3 linked regions of the Drosophila melanogaster genome follow. The protein of the gene in region 1 purifies or fractionates together with the protein of each later gene. This does not show direct contact. Each region holds a gene or a part of one and is shown on either strand. Other genes may lie near its edges.

What was found. Proteins that work in one complex are often made in the same cells at the same time.
Region 2: the proteins of Cnx99A (region 1) and Cyp12d1-p purify together in Drosophila melanogaster (affinity purification with mass spectrometry, with the first as the bait; one large-scale study listed by BioGRID). This does not show direct contact.
Region 3: the proteins of Cnx99A (region 1) and CCT6 purify together in Drosophila melanogaster (affinity purification with mass spectrometry, with the first as the bait; one large-scale study listed by BioGRID). This does not show direct contact.

What each region holds. Positions count from the first base shown.
Region 1 is NT_033777.3:29,314,733-29,321,573, reverse strand, and holds Cnx99A (calnexin 99A), read left to right. Parts: upstream 1-1,929; 5' UTR 1,930-1,986; exon of another isoform or gene 1,987-2,040; 5' UTR 2,041-2,199; coding exon 2,200-2,343; intron 2,344-2,961; coding exon 2,962-3,300; intron 3,301-3,433; coding exon 3,434-3,505; intron 3,506-3,604; coding exon 3,605-3,738; intron 3,739-4,062; coding exon 4,063-4,651; intron 4,652-4,713; coding exon 4,714-4,854; intron 4,855-4,944; coding exon of another isoform or gene 4,945-5,070; intron 5,071-5,208; coding exon 5,209-5,337; intron 5,338-5,404; coding exon 5,405-5,629; intron 5,630-5,694; coding exon 5,695-5,739; 3' UTR 5,740-6,320; downstream 6,321-6,841.
Region 2 is NT_033778.4:11,116,691-11,123,655, reverse strand, and holds Cyp12d1-p (cytochrome P450 12d1 proximal), read left to right. Parts: upstream 1-1,771; 5' UTR 1,772-1,807; coding exon 1,808-1,909; intron 1,910-1,969; coding exon 1,970-2,295; intron 2,296-2,349; coding exon 2,350-2,466; intron 2,467-2,530; coding exon 2,531-3,551; 3' UTR 3,552-6,431; downstream 6,432-6,965.
Region 3 is NC_004354.4:15,744,675-15,749,505, forward strand, and holds CCT6 (chaperonin containing TCP1 subunit 6), read left to right. Parts: upstream 1-1,973; 5' UTR 1,974-2,096; coding exon 2,097-2,233; intron 2,234-2,633; coding exon 2,634-4,098; 3' UTR 4,099-4,297; downstream 4,298-4,831. Other genes in the region: CG8944 (uncharacterized protein), read right to left, coding at 139-495, 646-1,368; Mvd (mevalonate diphosphate decarboxylase), read left to right, coding at 4,578-4,629, 4,691-4,761.

The sequences.
Region 1 (6,841 bases):
CACCCACATGTGTGCTTCCGAGTCTTTGTTTGTCTTTAGAAAAAAACTTTTTAAATTGTGTTAAATATTCCATTAAACAGAAAGCTTTTTGTATGCAGTTGCAAACAAAAAAAAAGAAAGAAAAACTGTCAGTGGCAGCAATAGAAGCAGCAGCAGAATTGCGCGTGCCGCAGATAAGTTGCCACAGTTAAAGGATGTGCACTGGGAAAAATCTGTTAATCTTGAATATTATATATGTACCTGTTCATTTGTGTGGAAAATGTGCGTTTCCTTCAATGCTTCTAATTTGTAATAATTTTATTGTTATTTTCTTAAATTTATACACCTATTTTCTCAGCACAAAGAAGGCGTGGCAACGAATGGACCCCACCCACACAAATCCTGCCAATAAGTTAGGAATTTTTATTATAATTTTATGCTCAAATGCATGCCACTTTATTTTTTAGAGCCACGCGTGGCAAAGGGAAACTTTTGCCGCCAGCCATCAAGTTTATTGGGGGGCTTAGCCATTCCCGTTGTGGGGCATTAATTGAGCCGCCGGGCTTTTAAAATAATTGCAACATGCAAGACTACTTTCATGCCACGGAGTGTTTGATTCAGATATGTCCAGTGGAAAATAAATGTATGCCAATATTTCAGTGGAAATCGCACATCGCACAAATATTAATTTCAATATGGTCGGCGAGGGAAAATAACAAAATACTAGAGTGGTGCCTGCTACGAGTCCTAGATAATCCTAATTCCGATTGAAATTAATTTAAAAATTAGCATACATAATTAACAAAAATAGGCTTTAACTGGTTTGCGAATTTCCGTGCAAATTTATTAAGGCAAAACTGTCAATATGGAAATTACGTATTTTCTTAGACGTTTTTCGTCACTACTTGGCTCAAAATAGTCAGAAATCTACGAAACTAACTTTTTTGTACATCTTTTGACCTAAACTAACAGGGCATATAACTTTTTGACCGTTTTTCCAAAATCCATATTTTGGCCATTTTTGAATTTTTTGTAAGGGGTACCATCATCATTTTTTGCAAAATTTGGCTCAAAATTTTTTTTCCAAAATTTGATTTTGGTTGGAAGGGGAGTTCGATTACGAGTCCAACAAGGTATGACAATCCATATTTCGGACAATATTTCTCAAGTTATGGCTGAAAAACGATTATTTTATGGTGGTTTATGCGAATTTATATGTCTCAAATGAAAACATGCAGCTTTCTTTCCCCTTGTAACCATTTATTCTTTATTTATAACATTGTATTTGTTTATATATTTCATTCTGTATTATGATCATGTATTAATTATGATTAGCAGTGAAAAGTATGCAACATTCAATTAGCGTCTGGGGGTAAGTCTGTACTACAAACTTATCGGAGTTCCAAACCCTGTAACGACGATTGGAGTGAGGCATATCGATATGCTTAAGGTAACGATTACGATGATGTTTTTATTATTTGATCAACGCACTGTTACCCATGCGGCAACTTAATTTGATCTGCTTAAATTATTTTATTTTACAATGTGTCTTGGTTACTTAAGACTAACAGATTTTTAATCCTAAAAATGATAGGGAGAATTATAATAGTTGATATAACATAGTAATTATTATTTATTTGATTATTCTAATGAATTTTAAAACTAAGACTTTCTAGGTCAAAACCAGGTTAGGGAGGTCATGAGGGTGGTTTTAAGGTAACAAAAGTATTCTTAATTTATTAAATAGCAAATAAGTATATAAAATTAATAAATCTGACATATTCCTTACTTTTATTTAGCACAAACATAATCATCAAATCAATTATATTCTGGTCCCGCTGAAAGTGTGCTCTTCCTAAGAACGTGCAATTATTAAAGATTCTAGCTTGAGTAAGTATCTTAAAAACTATATATACCCTACGGTAGGGTACAACGCAACGCGACAGTGTGACCAGTTGTCCTTTGCGGCGGCATACCAAAGCAGGCGAAGAGGAAGCACAGAACACAGTAGGCAGCGCAGCAGAGAAAATGTATAATTTACATTAATTTAATTACAAATAGTTCGTCGTGCCAGATCTCGATTCTTGTTATTCCGCAACAGACCGCAGTGGGGGAAAACTGTTGAAAAGCACAGCGCGCACAAGTGAGTCCACCACCTGGTTTTCCGCGGATACTAAATCCCAGCCAGGCAGCCAGCGAGCGAGCGAAAAGTGGGTGAAAATGGCGTGGAAAATGGGAGGAAACCGGGCCGCAACGCTGGCGTTGCTCTTCGCCAGCAGTTTGCTGCTGCTGAGTGCGGCCAATGCCGCCGATTTGGACACGGAGTCGGACGACTTCGAGGATGGTTATGTGGAGGATGTGCAGGTGAGTAGTTGGTCCGACGATGCGGTTCGTAAGATAAAAAAAACGAGAGAAAAAAGTACACGTCAGTGGAAGCTACTAGAAGAAAAGGCGAAACGCTATTGCTGTGAGGGTAGGGGAAGGTGGTTGTGGGGGAGGGGGGTGTTGGTGCGGCCGGCTTCTTCGCTTTATGACCCACAATTAGCATGCGAGTGTGTCTCACTTTTCCAGCAACAAATCCGAATGCGAGGGAAAATAAAACTGTTTACCAACAGACGAGGTCAAGCAGATAGCAACTCCCCATGGCAGCACCAAGAATGCGCTAATCTGTTGCTCCACAGGTTACATCAGAGGTTTATTGAGCAGAGCTTCTATTTAACGTGCTTGTTTCTCTAGAAATTATGCCAGTCATTTATGTTTCTAGGGGAGTTACTGCTACAGATGAGGTCAAGCTAAGAGCAACATAAAACATGTTATTATATAGCTATAACTAGTCTGGCGGGCCCAGGTGTAGCGCTCTCCAATTCAAACCCATGCTGGCCACCCATCTTTCTCTCCCTCTCTTTATCACTTTCCCCACTGACAACCGCGTGCTTCGGATTTTATGGCACCTTATCTAATGTTTCCACATATGCTTTGCAGGAGGAGCCCGCCGTCATCGGTGGCGATGAGAAGCTGGCCTACGAGAGCCCGGTTATCGATGCCAAGAAGTTCCACTTCGCGGATCACTTCGACGACGTGGAGGAGTCCAGGAAGAGGTGGGTGCTGTCGCAGGCCAAGAAGGACGACATCGCCGAGGAGATCTCCAAGTACGACGGCATCTGGAACTGGGAGTCGCCGCAGCGCATCGTTTGGGCTAACGACTTGGGTCTGGTGCTCAAGTCGAAGGCCAAACACGCGGCCATAGCCGCCCCCCTCCGCAAACCGTTCGAGTTCAAGTCGGACAAGCCGCTGGTGGTGCAGTACGAGGTCACGTTGCAGGTTCGTCACCTAGCGAAACGCTCTGGGATTGCATCAGCCGCCGGGCAAATCCAATTAATACCCGCTTACTGACCCAATTCTCGTTCTCCCCCGGCTTATTCTCGTTTTTTTGTTTTTGTTTTTTTGTTTTTAGGAGGGTCAGGAGTGCGGTGGCTCGTATCTGAAGCTTTTGTCCGCCGGAAAAGACACGGAGCAACTAAAAGCGGTAAGTGCGGGGGCCAATGCCCTCATAGATCACACTCGCCTGAACCCCAAAGAACATACATCGTAAACAACCCCCGAAACCGAATCTGTTTACTCGTAGTTCAATGACAAGACACCCTATACCATCATGTTTGGACCGGACAAGTGCGGCAACGATGTGAAAATGCACTTCATATTCCGGCACGTCAATCCAATTAATGGCACCATCACCGAGAAGCACTGCAACAAGCCAAAGTGAGTCCATTAAATGAACGCAACTCTTTGGCAGATTGGAAATGAGCAGCTCGTTCAAGCGTTATCGCTATCAATAGAATCACCACTCTAACCATCTTGCTTGAAAGTTTCCGAGCGTTGTATAGAAACAAAATTGGTGTTCGACATTGCGCATACGTGTAATATCTCCGAAATCACCTTTGCTCACCTTTATCACCCGTTTGGCTCTTCGTCACCGATGGTGGACTATTGCCCCCATTGATGAGCTGAATTTCTGAAGAGGCAGATAAACCGTATATTTATAATCCCATCGATGAATAATATTCTTTTGTTCTTTGCTTTCAGGAACCGTTTGGAAGAGCCATTCAAGGACAAGCTACCCCATCTCTACCAGCTGGTGGTCCGTCCCGATAACAGCTTTGAGATTCGCGTTGACCACAAGATCATCAATGAGGGTTCCCTGCTAACCGATTTCAAGCCACCAGTCAACCCGCCGGCAGAGATCGACGACCCCAATGACCACAAGCCCGAATCGTGGGATGAGCGAGAGAAGATCCCAGATCCCACTGCCCACAAGCCCGAGGATTGGGATGAGGATGCTCCACCCCAGTTGCCCGATACCGATGCCGTCATGCCCAATGGCTGGCTCGAAGATGAGCCCGACATGATTTTCGATCCAACTGCCACCAAACCCGAGGATTGGGATGCCGAAATCGATGGCGAGTGGGAGGCTCCATTGGTGGACAATCCAGTGTGCGAGAAGGCTCCCGGCTGTGGCAAGTGGAAGGCTCCGCTCATCCCCAATCCCAACTACAAGGGCAAGTGGCGTGCACCAATGATCGAGAACCCCAACTACCAGGGCAAGTGGGCACCCAGGAAGATTCCCAATCCAGACTTCTTTGAGGATCTGAAGCCCTTCCAAATGACGCCCATCGTAAGTGCAATTTGCATGGCTTTCGTTGTCCACTTTGCTATAGCCAAACTAACTCTATTTAGAGCGCTGTGGGTCTGGAACTGTGGTCCATGTCCAGCGATATTCTCTTCGACAACCTAATCATCACGGACGACGTGGAGGTGGCCCGTGACTTTGCCGCCAACAGCTTCGACATCAAGCGTCGCTACATCGATCGTGAATCGGTAAGTTTAAAACCCCTAACCTCTTCCGTTTTCCCTTCACAAATAAACACAGGGATTCGTAATCGAGAGACTTCTCTATCCAATTCGAAGAAAACCTTCTGGCACCGCCTAATGCGCCGCATGAACTACAAGCCCGGCTGGTGGGCCCTGTACTTCGTGTACCTGCTCATTCCGGCCAGTTGTTATGTCTTCTATCTCTACCGACGCGCCAAAGAGGTTGGCTCCGGTCTTGTCTTACGCTTTCAAATTTTAATTAGAAGTGCCTACAGTACAACCACATGAACACCTCTCATATTTGCCCTGCACCGTGCACCTGTAATTGCTACTGCTATTCTTTGGCTTTCTCATTAATAGGACTCATTCGTGAATAAGGTAGTCGAGCTAGCCAAGGCCAATCCCTCGATCTGGGGCATTGGCTTGGTGGCCATTGTGGCGCTGGTTGCCCTCACCATCTACTGTAGATTTGGTACCGCTAAGAGTCAGGTAATGATGCTCGAGCTTTCACTTGAGATCTTCATAAGGAATTTACTAATCCCACTTTTGCTATTAGGACTCGGCTGCCAAAAAGGCTGCTGCCGAGGCCAAGAAGTCCGACGATCCTCAGCCCGACGATGAGCCCGAGGCCGAGGAGGAGAGCGACGAAAGGGCCGCTGGCGATACCAGCAAGGAGAGCACACCGCTGTCCGCTAGTCCCAAGAAGAACCAAAAGTCTGATTTAGATGATAACGAAGAGGAGTCCAAGGCGGCGGAGAGCCGAGAGCCCGCACAGACTGAGGTGCGTTCAAAAATAAGCTTGCTTGTGTCCACCACCAGAACTAATCTCAACGTTATTCTCTTTAGGAATCTAACACAAAAACACGCAAGCGTCAAGCGCGCAAGGAGTAAGCGGGCATCCCCACATGCCGAATCCGAAAACAAACACTGCAACTCTAAAGAAAAAAAAAAACTTAATCCAATTCCAAAAGCCAGCGGTTGCGAAGCAGCAACAACCAAAATGTTTGTTCGCCAAGGCAGCCGACATCTCCCACAAACTACACACACACACCACACACACACTCGTTTCGGTTTAGTCAACTCTGTACGTACTTTTGCCGTATTATCGTTGCATTTCTGTCGTGTTCGACCCTCTGTCGTCCCCATATCTCCTATACATATATAGCACCCTTACACAGAGCCAGCCGCGATGGCACCGCTTTATAGTGTTTAGTTGGAGTGATGATCCTCCTTTTGATTTGTGTAAAAATGGAAAACACCAACTAGACAATTGAGGGAAACAAATCAACTACAACTGAAACTAAAGCAGCAAACAAAGAGGGAACTAAAGCAGATAAATCTAATGGCAAGCATCTAGTTTAATATTATGTAATTTAAACGAAATTGAATAGTATGTTAGTTATACTCAAGTTTCCATTTTCATTTGTACCGATGAAAATTTACAGCGAAAAATAAAACTAAATGTCAAAACCAAAGCAAGAGCCTTTGAATCCAACCAACTGCCAGCAGCTAAGCGAAAGGACTGAGCCAAGTCCTGTCGCACAGGTCCTGATTCCAACCCCCATGCAGCCATACCACATGGGTGTTAATTTAAATGTCAACCCCTGATGTTGGGATAGATCAGATTCGAATCGGATTTATTATGCTCGATGGTGCGTGGGGCGCCGACCAGACCAGACCAGACCAGACACATTGCATTCGTGCGGTTTTGGGGCATTTGCCAAATGCCAAATGCCAAAATGTTTTCATTATTTGGCCGATTGGATCGATCTGGTATAGAATACATTTAACAATCATTTTGCGAGTCAAGAAAGAAGGAAATCCCCGCCAATAGAATTCATTTTCAGCAAATGATACCATCATGTATTAGAGGCCTCCTTTTTGTCGCTCTGAATAATTCAATTCAATTTCCTAAGCTCATAAATATGCCAAATCAGACAGACAGTCCTCGTTAATGGAATTGTTATGACAACAGTAAGCCGACGACGATTTG
Region 2 (6,965 bases), on another chromosome or scaffold:
AAGCCTATGTCTGAACAATAACATACTTATATTGAATATGAGCGGTTGATATTTTTTTAGCAGTATCAAGCTTTCTTGACTTACGGCAATAATTTCGCTTTCTATCACTGTGATGGTGGGAATTCTTAGGAGTCATGCTGGATTGCAGCTTTTCAATTTGTAGAGAATCGTTTTGTTATTCCTCTTGGGATGCGATGCTATATAAGCATTTTGGCAGGCTTCCCAGCTCAGTTGTCATTTTAGGCAAGCAGTTAATAAAATTAACTATGAGTATTGCGCAGAATGCGCAATCCATTCAGCTTGTGAGGGCATCTTCTAGTCAGGCACAGATTTTGGCCAATGTGAGTTGAAATACTATCACCACAATCGGGTATTCCACTAACATACATATGTGATCTGGATATTAAGGTAGCCGATAGTGTAGTCACTGAAGCGAGATCCTATAAGAACATTCCACTTCCCAGAAAACAGGAATTTGCAAGGGCATTTATGCCGGGTGGAGAATTTCACGATGCCTCAATTTTGGATTATGCAGCAGCGATGAGAAGTTGTTATGGTGATATCTTCATAATGCCTGGAATGTTTGGTCGCAAGGATTGAGTCACCACATTTAGTACAAAGAATATCGAGACTGTTTTCCGCAGTGAGGGAACTTGGCCGGAAAAGGATTTCTTTCCCTCGATCACATATTTCCATTTATGGAGAAAGTGTGGGTCTGATATTCGCGTAAGTTACCAAATAATTACATATGTATATCAAAAGCGGAAGTTAATTTGGAAACTATAATTTAAGGCAAGCAGCGTTGTGGGGCAAGATGCGATCAGCCGTCAATTCAATTTTTATGCAACCCAAAGGATTGAAAACTTATTATGAGTTCAACAACTAGTTCATTGAGCGCTAAGAATTAATTCATACTTGTATATTTCGATGTCCACCTGAGTTTTACTTTTTCTCCAACATTAAAGAAATTCGAGATGCTAGAACTCTGGAGATGCCGCCTGGTTTTCGAATCCCTTGGCTTGGTGGCTTTCGATCGCCCAATGGGTTTGATCAGTCGAAATCGAGACGATCCAGATGCATTGACTGTGTTCCAAAACACGAAGCACGATGTTCAGATATGCCTTTCAATTGAATATACAGCCATCAATGTGGAGATTTATCTCCACTCCAAACTTTCGGATGATGATGCGTCTTCTCGATGACATCTTAATGTTCTCACAGAAAATGATAAAGGACACCGAGGACTCTGTGGAAAAGCGGCGCCAGTAAATAAATAAAATAAAAAATAAATAAAATATCAGTATGCAAAGAGAACAAGGATCAACTCTAAGAATTGTTTTTATTTTTCTTTAATTTGGTTATTTATCTTGAAATTGTCTACCGTTGAACTAGAATCCTTATAAATTTTTAAAAAATATTTAAATATTTTAGATTTTTTTCTAGCGATCCCACTAAATGAGTAACGGGTATGTAATAGTCGTAATAGTAGTATCAAATTCTCTGAGGTGTATTTATTGTAAGTTCCAACGCTCTCAATTTGTTTTTCTAGCCAGTCACGTTCATTTGTTTATTTTTTCAGTTGAGTGAGGTAGGCAATTCACGGCGATTATACCGTTCAGCTGATAAGAAAATGAAACTCATGCTTTGTTTGCTGGCTTTTGTTTTTGTTTGAGATTTTTGCATTTTGAAGCATTTCAAGTTATTCGCTCTCCTCTCTTTTCTACGTTTTAGAGATAAGCCTTTGGTATAAGAACGTTCTCGAAAGTGGAACTGTTTTTAGTTGCAGTTGATCACCAAAAGGAATAGAATGAATACATTGAGCAGTGCGCGATCTGTGGCGATTTACGTGGGTCCCGTTCGATCTTCAAGATCAGCCTCCGTTTTGGCACATGAACAAGCTAAATCTAGTGTTAGTATGCACAAAATCCAGTCGAAATAGATTTATCATGTTATTAGTTTCCAATTATAGATAACGGAGGAGCACAAGACCTACGATGAGATTCCGCGGCCCAACAAATTCAAATTTATGAGGGCTTTCATGCCCGGTGGTGAATTCCAAAATGCATCGATTACGGAATACACCAGTGCCATGCGAAAGCGCTATGGAGATATCTATGTAATGCCCGGAATGTTTGGCCGCAAGGATTGGGTCACCACTTTCAACACAAAGGACATTGAGATGGTATTCCGCAACGAGGGTATCTGGCCACGTCGTGATGGCCTGGATTCCATTGTATATTTCCGCGAACACGTTCGACCAGATGTTTACGGTGAGGTTCAAGGATTGGTGGCTTCGTGAGTATAAAATCTAATAAGTAGCAAGGAAACAATTGAATTTGAATATTTCAGACAAAATGAGGCATGGGGAAAACTACGATCAGCCATTAATCCCATCTTTATGCAACCCAGGGGCTTGAGAATGTATTATGAACCATTGTCTAATATCAATAATGAGTTTATAGAGCGGTAAGAAATTTTTGTTATTGAATTGTTATTTATATATAGCAATAAATTCCATTTTACTGTGCAGCATTAAGGAAATCCGCGATCCAAAAACTCTAGAAGTCCCCGAAGATTTTACGGATGAAATAAGCCGGCTTGTTTTCGAGTCACTCGGCCTGGTGGCTTTCGATCGGCAAATGGGTCTGATTAGAAAAAACCGCGATAATTCCGATGCATTGACCCTCTTCCAGACCTCGAGGGATATTTTCCGTCTCACATTTAAGCTAGACATTCAGCCCTCCATGTGGAAGATCATATCGACGCCCACCTACAGGAAAATGAAGCGAACTCTCAATGACAGTTTGAATGTGGCCCAGAAAATGCTGAAGGAAAATCAGGATGCACTGGAAAAGCGCCGCCAGGCTGGCGAAAAAATAAATAGTAACAGTATGCTGGAGAGATTAATGGAGATCGATCCCAAGGTGGCGGTGATTATGAGTCTGGACATCCTATTCGCTGGTGTGGATGCCACAGCCACGCTTCTGTCGGCTGTTTTACTCTGCCTCTCAAAGCATCCGGATAAGCAGGCCAAACTGCGGGAGGAGCTCTTGAGCATCATGCCCACAAAGGATTCCCTACTCAACGAGGAGAACATGAAGGATATGCCATATTTGAGGGCTGTGATCAAGGAGACACTGCGATACTATCCCAATGGCTTGGGAACCATGAGAACCTGCCAAAATGATGTGATACTTTCGGGTTACCGGGTGCCCAAGGGAACGACTGTCCTGCTCGGCTCAAATGTGCTGATGAAGGAAGCTACATATTATCCACGACCAGATGAATTTCTGCCGGAGCGCTGGTTAAGGGATCCGGAGACCGGAAAGAAGATGCAGGTCAGCCCCTTCACGTTCCTTCCCTTTGGCTTTGGACCCCGCATGTGCATTGGCAAACGGGTGGTGGATCTGGAAATGGAGACCACAGTGGCCAAGTTGATTCGCAATTTCCATGTGGAGTTCAATCGGGATGCCAGCCGTCCATTCAAGACCATGTTCGTCATGGAACCGGCCATTACGTTCCCCTTCAAATTCACGGATATCGAACAATAATTTGCTTCTCATTTGTGGCCTTTACTTGTGTTCCTTATAGTTGCGATTTTTGATTACAGTAAATGTTTGACTGATGAAATGCAGATAAGAATTTTGCCTCCTCCTATTTCGCATTGTTGTGCAAACCTCGCTGTTTTGATAAGCAAAATGTTTAATACGTTTGATAAGATTGCGCTTTGTTGTGGCATCCCTATCGCTTTTTTTCGTATCAATTTGTTTTTTTCAACACAATTGCGAGGTGTGCTTTTCTTATATTTTTAGGTAACAAAGAAGAGACTATTGTAGGTTGTTATTTTTCTTGTTTTTCCCCCACACTTTGTATATTTAGGTGGTGGGTAGCGCTCACCAAAGACACTTTCAGCTGGAGCTTGCAGCTTGGCAGGCAGGTGAGAACGGGCTGCCGAGAGGATGTCCTTTGCCGCGCCACAAATACTTCTAACGGCAACAGCAAAATCAGGAGCAGCACCCAACATCAGGAGAGTAGCAAAGCGGCAAAAGCAGCAACAACAGACATATTCGCCTGCGGCCTGCGGAGTTATGCTAACTGGCACTCAAAGCAAAGCGCGGCCAAAAGCTCAGGTGGTTTGCCCTGTGCCACCTGCCACCTGCCACCTGCCCCCCTGGTCTTGTTCTTGTTTTTGCTGTTGCTGTGCCTGCCACTTGGCACTGGCAGCTTGTAACAATAATTTAAGCGATTTTGCGCTTTTTGCGAGTGGGTTAATGGCATGCTCAGGATCTAGGAAACGGGAAGTGGGAACTGTGAGCTGGGAGCCTGCAAGCGGGTATCCTTTGGCGTGGCGAAAATTCCACTTTTGTAGCAAACGCACATAGCTTATGAATTCCGCAATCCCCGATGCGGTGCAGCAGCAAAATGGTAGGGATGATGGACCGTGGGTCCTGGTCCAGTACAAAGTAAAAATGCAGAACATGTGTTTTTTCGGGGTGGCTGGATAACCTGGCTTATAGCAGCCATGGCCAGGGATCAGCTATATACATATACATATGGTCATGTACATCTCTTTGTGTCTGCTGTATATTAAAATTCAATTTTAAAACCGGCCACGCACAACCGGGCGTATGCGTAATGCGGCATGCAATCATTTGCGTGCGCCTTCGCTTGGAAATTCCTTTGCCATAACTAATCTCGAAGGCCAACCAAGACTAAGGCCAACCTAAGACTAAGGACCAGTCCTGACGTTTCATATTTCTAGCTCACCGCCCTGCCACCCAAGCTCAACCCGTTCCTTTGCCGCTCGTCTTTTATTTTATTTAATCTTTTTTCTTTTTTTTTTTTTGTGAAAAATTTCATACTCATCAAGTTGACAAAGAAAAAGTTTTTCATTATTACATTTCGCTGTCATTTGGGCGCAGAAATAGCTTGGAAAAGTTCTCGGAGTCCCGCTTTTCCTTCGCCGGCTGCCGGTTGAAACTCGAGTGCAGCGCGTAAATGAGTCACTCCCATTTTGAGTCGCCCGCCCGCAGCAGTCGGCGCTCATCATCAGATTTCCAAAAGGATAATGGTTTGGGTTGTGCTGGGCTGGGTTGGATTTGGTTAGGTTGTGGGGTGGTGGGGGGCAGTGGGAAAGGCACGGGCCCATTGCGTAGCTTGACGTAATTTTCTTGGCCTGCCTGACGAGTCGCATCCTTGCACATTAATCCATTGGTGTGCCTGGATCTCGGTAGTCGGAACCCCGGAACCCGGAACCCAGAGCTCGGATCTTGGTCCTTGCTGCACGCAAATGAGGGTATGGTCAAATCACTCACTGTCAGCCCGTGTCCCAAGGAATGCGTTCAGCATGTCCTTTAATTTTTTCTCCCTCTAAGACCAGTTTCATTCCCCTTTTCTGCACTTTGACAAAAAGCTGAGTCCTTAGCTTGCATAAGCAAAATGAATGAACCTATTTTTAAGTCATATACTTTTGAAAAGATACAAAATGGCCTTTGTTTAATTGAATAAATTTTTTTTGAAACTTTGAATGACATTATATATTTTTATTTAGTTGTTTTAAGCAATAATAAATTTGCACAAATTATTATTTAAATATGTTTGAATAGTTTAAAAACTTAATGATTTTTCAGTTTTTTCTTATTAGTAGGTCTTTAAATTTCTTTTGAGTCTCCTCAACATCATTCCATTGATTAGCAATTCGGATGACACTTTTCTTATTGTGCAGGCACTAGCATTTTCTATAACTTGACGTTTGCCCGCCTTGTCGTTGCCCGTCCATTTTCCATTTCCCATTTTCCGTTCGGCCAGCCCATCCCCACTCCCCCTGGCTTCTTTGTCCGGCTTGTACTTGTGTTGCCTCGCTTGCCGCTTTGCTGCCTGTCAGCGCGCAGCTTAAGATAAAAACTTTCCTTTCCACCCAAAAAAGGGGCCAAGGCGGCAACACCGGCCAGAAAAGGCTGAAAAAAAAGCAGGCAGAATGGCCTGCGAAAGGGTTGACTCTGACATTTAGCTTTCGCATATTTGCACACACCCCGCGTCCCCATCCACCGACAGTATATTTTATAGACTAAGGCGAAGACATGACAAATGCTCAAATAGAAATTCTTCAACAAGATTCTTGGCCGAAACTTAAGTTCATTTTTTGGTCGTGCACATCGCATGGGGGCTTTTGTAAGGGCCTCACCAGAAAGAATTCAAATTAAAATGCGATTGCTCTGGGGCTCACTCGATTTTCGTGTGTTTTCTGACACGGCCTGTCGATGGTTTTTGCATTTGTCTGCAAGGCTGAATTTAATACAGGACACTCTGCGCTTTCCGAATCACGAATTGGCTTCAAATTCAATCGATTGGTGGGGCATTCAAATATTAACAAAAATAGAAAAAAGGGTGTGCTTTTTGTAACAATTTGAAAATACTTTTATTTACTTAGGTAATTTAAGTAAATAAAACAATATACTAAAAGTGTGTAAGGCAGTTTCTGTTTTAGTGAATATATTACCTATAACTACATTTTATAAACCTGTGACAAAATCTACGTTATCCATTTAATGGCTATTAAATACTCCAAAACATTTTCCGCATCGATTTCCTTTAATATTCAAAATCATTTTCCGCTTTCACAGGAATAATATCAAACATATGACCGTGCAGCTGACGCTCAGATGTTTTCCCGCTTTCCACGCGGCCACTCGAACTTTTCATTCATCAGGCGCAGCGCACACGCATTGCCGAATTTGCACCAACACCAGTGCATCGGGGTCACCCAATTTCCACCCAAAACAGCCACCCACTCAGCCGAAGCAGTCGAATAACCCAGACACCCGCACAACTCACTCACCCATTCATATATTTTATGTTTTGTTTACATTGCCGGCTTGTGCAGCCCAAACAACAACTGATTCTATGGAAAAAGCGTTGGGAAAGCCTTGTGACGTCACCGGGAATGTGCGTGCTATAAACCGAAG
Region 3 (4,831 bases), on another chromosome or scaffold:
CTGGATAAATAAATAAAGTCTCTACTCAAGTCGCCCACCTGTTTACGTTAATTAATCCGCTAACAAGGTTCCGTTTCAATCCACCCCCAATTCAGAGAAGCGGACGCATAGGATCGAATTGAAAGGGGAGCCACTAACCTTAACAACAGCATCGGACATCTTATCGTTGTAGCTGTATACCTCGTTGAGGAAGTGCAGCTCCTTGAAGTACCACAGCGTACTGATGTTGGTCTTCTCCAGAGCCATGCGATTGCACTCCCGCTTGTATACCGTGCGCAGGTTGTCCCACTTACGGGTGATGGCGTCCTTGGCCAGCGAGATGTTAAACCGGCTCTTGAACTCCAGCACAATCCAGTCGAGGAAGCGGGCGCGCTTAACGCGATCCCGGAACTGTGCATTGCCGTGGTCCCACAAAAAGGGGTTGCGCTGATACGAGTGGATGAGAAACTGGATCATCTTGCGGTCCTTGATGTGCATCGTAACCTCCCGGTCGCGCTAAGGGGTGGGAAAATGATAAAATCATTACAAATAGGTATATATGGATATTAGTGAAAATTAAGGGTGAAATAAATGTAGCTTTTAAATCGATGGGCGAAAATTTTAACAAAAATATCTGTATGTATATAGTATAAAAATATAACTTACTCCCAGCAGGGACTCCTCCACCATCTCATCATAGCTGAGAAAGTCCGATTCGGTTCCGAAACCACTGTGGTTAACGCCGTCGAATCCAGCAAAGTCCATGTACTCTCCGGAATTGTCGTCCATATAGCTGTGATCCGGATCACCGTAGTCGTCCATGGATGAATCGCCGTCACCGGCGATGAGAAGCTCGCTAGACATGTCCCTCTGGCGCTGCTTTGTGACCTTTTTGCGTGCCCGCGTCTTGGAACTGACCACCGGTACATCGCTTTCGGGTAATATGGCCTCGTCCTCATCGGCCTCGGAATCGTTCAGCCGTTGCTCATCGTCGTCTTCTTCGCCGGCGACCACATCATCATCGCTGCAGGGCAGATCCTGGAGCTCTTGTTTGATGACCATTTGGGGCTCCAGCAGCGCTGTGTCCGCGTCCGTTAAGTCTTCGATCTCGTGGAAGTTGGGCAGATCCCCATTACGACCGGACAGGGACATGGGCTCGCCGAGATTGAAGGGGAGACGGGAGGAGGTATTCGCCACGGACTGGTCGCCCAGGTGAACTGTCTGCATGTGGCCGATGAAGGAGTCGAAGTAGAGAAACTTCTCGCTGCAGAAGATGCAACGCAGGGCGAAGTACTGGAAGTCATCTGTGGCCGTCACCATGCCGCAGTCCTTGGTGCAGTGACGGAAAATCTCCTCGTCGTTGGTACGTGGATACGCCAGGACACTCATCGCGCCGCCTGCGGATCCTCGTCCTGTCCGGTTAACAATCAGAATTCAATTAAGTCTCTTGGTACTCTACGCTGCGGTCGGCGCACTCTAGTATTGTGCCTTATTTTGACTTGATTTTATCCCGATTTGGCCAATAAAAAAAAACTTTTTAGTGTTGGGGTTTGGGCGCACGGTTGCATTTCATTTGCTAATCGCCATCGGTGGTCGCAGGTGAGCCGATTAAATTGTGCGGCTTATTTTGCAGTGATTTAGCGGGAAATAGCCATTACTAGCGGGAAATATATTACCACCCTTAAGACCTTCTTTAATACTCATAATCATATAATCTTTGTAAATAACTTAGATATTAAGAATCGCTTAAATTGATACCGATTAAATTAAGTTGCCCAAGAAGGGTAATGGTACGCTAGTCAATAAAATAATTTCGTTTAATAAATTTAAATAAAAAAAAAGATATATATATGAAACATTTTTTAAATGTCATTTTGCATGTAAGCCACCACAACGAAAAATCTAATTAGAAATAAATAAAAGTGTTACAAATTGGAAGTGATTACAATACTATCGATTGTACTGCTTTGAAGTCTCTAGTTGTCTTTCCCCCATCTGGTCACACTTGCCATCTGATTTCTTCGATTCGCCTAACTTTAAGCGTGCTTGGATTTGTGCCGATTCCTATTGATTTATTTTGCCGAGCTAAGAAAATCTCTGTTTAATTGCGACACGCGATGGCTTCGATTAGCTTGCTGAACCCCAAGGCCGAGTTTGCCCGCGCCGCCCAGGCTCTGGCCATCAATATCAGTGCCGCCAAGGGACTGCAGGATGTGATGCGCACCAATTTGGGACCCAAGGGCACCGTTAAGATGTAAGTTACTAAAACCGGCCTCTAATATCCCTCACTTTGCGTTCCATTAGCAATTTGAGTGAGAATGCTAGTTTATAGGCGAAAAAACAAACGTTTTGGTCACAGCTGCGGCAACTGCAAGTTTGAGGTTAGACTGGAACTAGCGGCATGCGTCATCGCAAAAGAAAGAAAGAGAATGTTGCAACTCTGGAGCAAAAAGCTTAGAATTTAGGTGTTTTTATTTAATTTCAAAAAGAATCTTAAATGAAAGATGCCCCCAGAGGCTTTAATTTATTCATAAATGTGTGTTTACCTGCATATCCAGCACCGGGTGATTCAGAAAGTGGCATCGAAAGAGGCGTGACTTGACTCACGCGCCGTGAAAAGTGAAACAAGCATACTAATTCTAGAAACTTCGCAGGTTGGTTTCTGGCGCCGGCGACATCAAGATCACCAAGGATGGCAATGTCCTGCTGCACGAAATGCAGATCCAACATCCGACTGCCTCTATGATTGCCAGGGCCAGCACGGCCCAGGATGATTCCACCGGCGATGGAACCACCACCACTGTGATGCTTATTGGCGAGCTCCTGAAGCAGGCCGATATCTATCTGTCCGAGGGACTGCATCCTCGCATCATGACCGATGGATTCGAGAAGGCACGCGACAAGGCATTGGAGGTGCTCGACCAGGTCAAGGTGCCCGTGGAGATCAACAAGAAGAACCTGGTGGAGGTGGCCAACACAAGTCTGAAGACCAAGGTGCATCCCGCCCTTGCCGATCTGCTTACGGACGTCTGCGTGAATGCCGTGCTGACCATTGCCAGTGCCGATAAGACCAAGCCCGTGGACCTCCACATGGTGGAGCTGATGGAGATGCAGCACAAATCCGATACCGATACACAGCTGGTGCGTGGACTAGTCATGGACCATGGTGCTCGCCACCCGGACATGCCGAAGCGTTTGGAGAATGCCTACATCCTTACGGCCAATGTCTCGCTGGAGTACGAGAAGGCCGAGGTCAACTCTGGCTTCTTCTACAAGACCGCCGAGGAGCGTGAGGCCTTTGTGCGCGCCGAGCGCGAATTCATCGACCAGCGTGTGAAGAAGGTGATCGAATTGAAGCGCTCCGTGTGCGATGGCACCGACAAAACCTTCGTCCTGATCAACCAGAAGGGCATCGACCCCATCTCGCTGGACGCCCTGGCCAAGGAGGGCATCCTGGCCTTGCGTCGCGCCAAGCGCCGCAACATGGAGCGTCTGTCTTTGGCCTGCGGTGGCACTGCAATGAACTCCTTTGACGATCTGCAGGAGGAGCACTTGGGATACGCCGGTGTGGTGTACGAGCATGTTCTGGGCGAGAACAAGTACACTTTCGTTGAGGACTGCAAGAACCCGCTGTCCGTCACGATCCTGATCAAGGGTCCCAACAAGCACACGATCACCCAGATCAAGGACGCCATCAGGGACGGTCTGCGTGCCATCAACAACACCATTGCCGATAAGGCTCTGGTGCCCGGAGCTGGAGCATTCGAGGTGCGCGCGTACAACGAGCTGGTCGCCTTCAAGGACACCATCAAGGGCAAGTCCCGCCTGGCAGTGCAGGCCTTTGCCGATGCCCTGCTGGTCATTCCCAAGACGCTGGCCGTGAACAGCGGCTACGATGCCCAGGACACAATCGTCAAGCTGACTGTTGAGGATCGCCTGAGTCCCGAACTGGTCGGCCTGGATCTGGCCACCGGGGAGCCCATGAAGCCCGTGGATCTGGGCGTCTACGACAACTACATCGTTAAGAAGCAGATCCTCAACTCCTGTTCGATCATTGCCAGCAACCTGCTTCTCGTCGACGAGGTGATGCGTGCGGGCATGACGAGCCTCAAGGGCTAGTCCCCATCATTTCATCCGACCCATTCAATTTAACCAAGTTAATGCACCGCATGCTACTCAACCCGCGTCTCTCAAAGCCACACACAACCAAAAGAAAACTAAACACGTAAATAATTTGGAAACACATGAAATCGGAATGGTTGCGGCTGCAAGTATTCACATTTAAAATACAATTCTAATAAATACAAAAACCAAACACAGCTCTATGCTTAACGCTAATGTATTTTCTATTTTTATTAACACTAATGTTTACTCACTACAAACTTTCATTGGTTTAAAAATAAATGGAAATAGCGATTTAGCCGTGACTCAAACCTCAATATGGGCGGTAATTGGGGAATACCCACAACTACATTTTTTGGGGCCACATGGTATATTTGAAGAGTCCACTGGGTGGTCACACCGCAGTCAACAGTTGTCGCTTTCGCTGGAAAGCAGCTGAAAACAAGTGAATTTCTGAATTAAAAACATTTTCAAACATGTTTTCGGTTACTTGTGTGGCGCCCGTAAACATAGCGCTCATCAAATATTGTGGGTAAATTAATACATATATTATAAGCACATAAACTTATGCACATGCATTCCTTTAAAGGGGGAAAGCGGCACGAAGAGCTAATTCTGCCCGTCAATGATTCCATTAGCATGACTCTGAGCACCGATGAGGTAAATATGAAAGATATTTAAATATTTATTTGCGTTTTAAAACCAACAAATTGTAATTAAAAAATTAAAA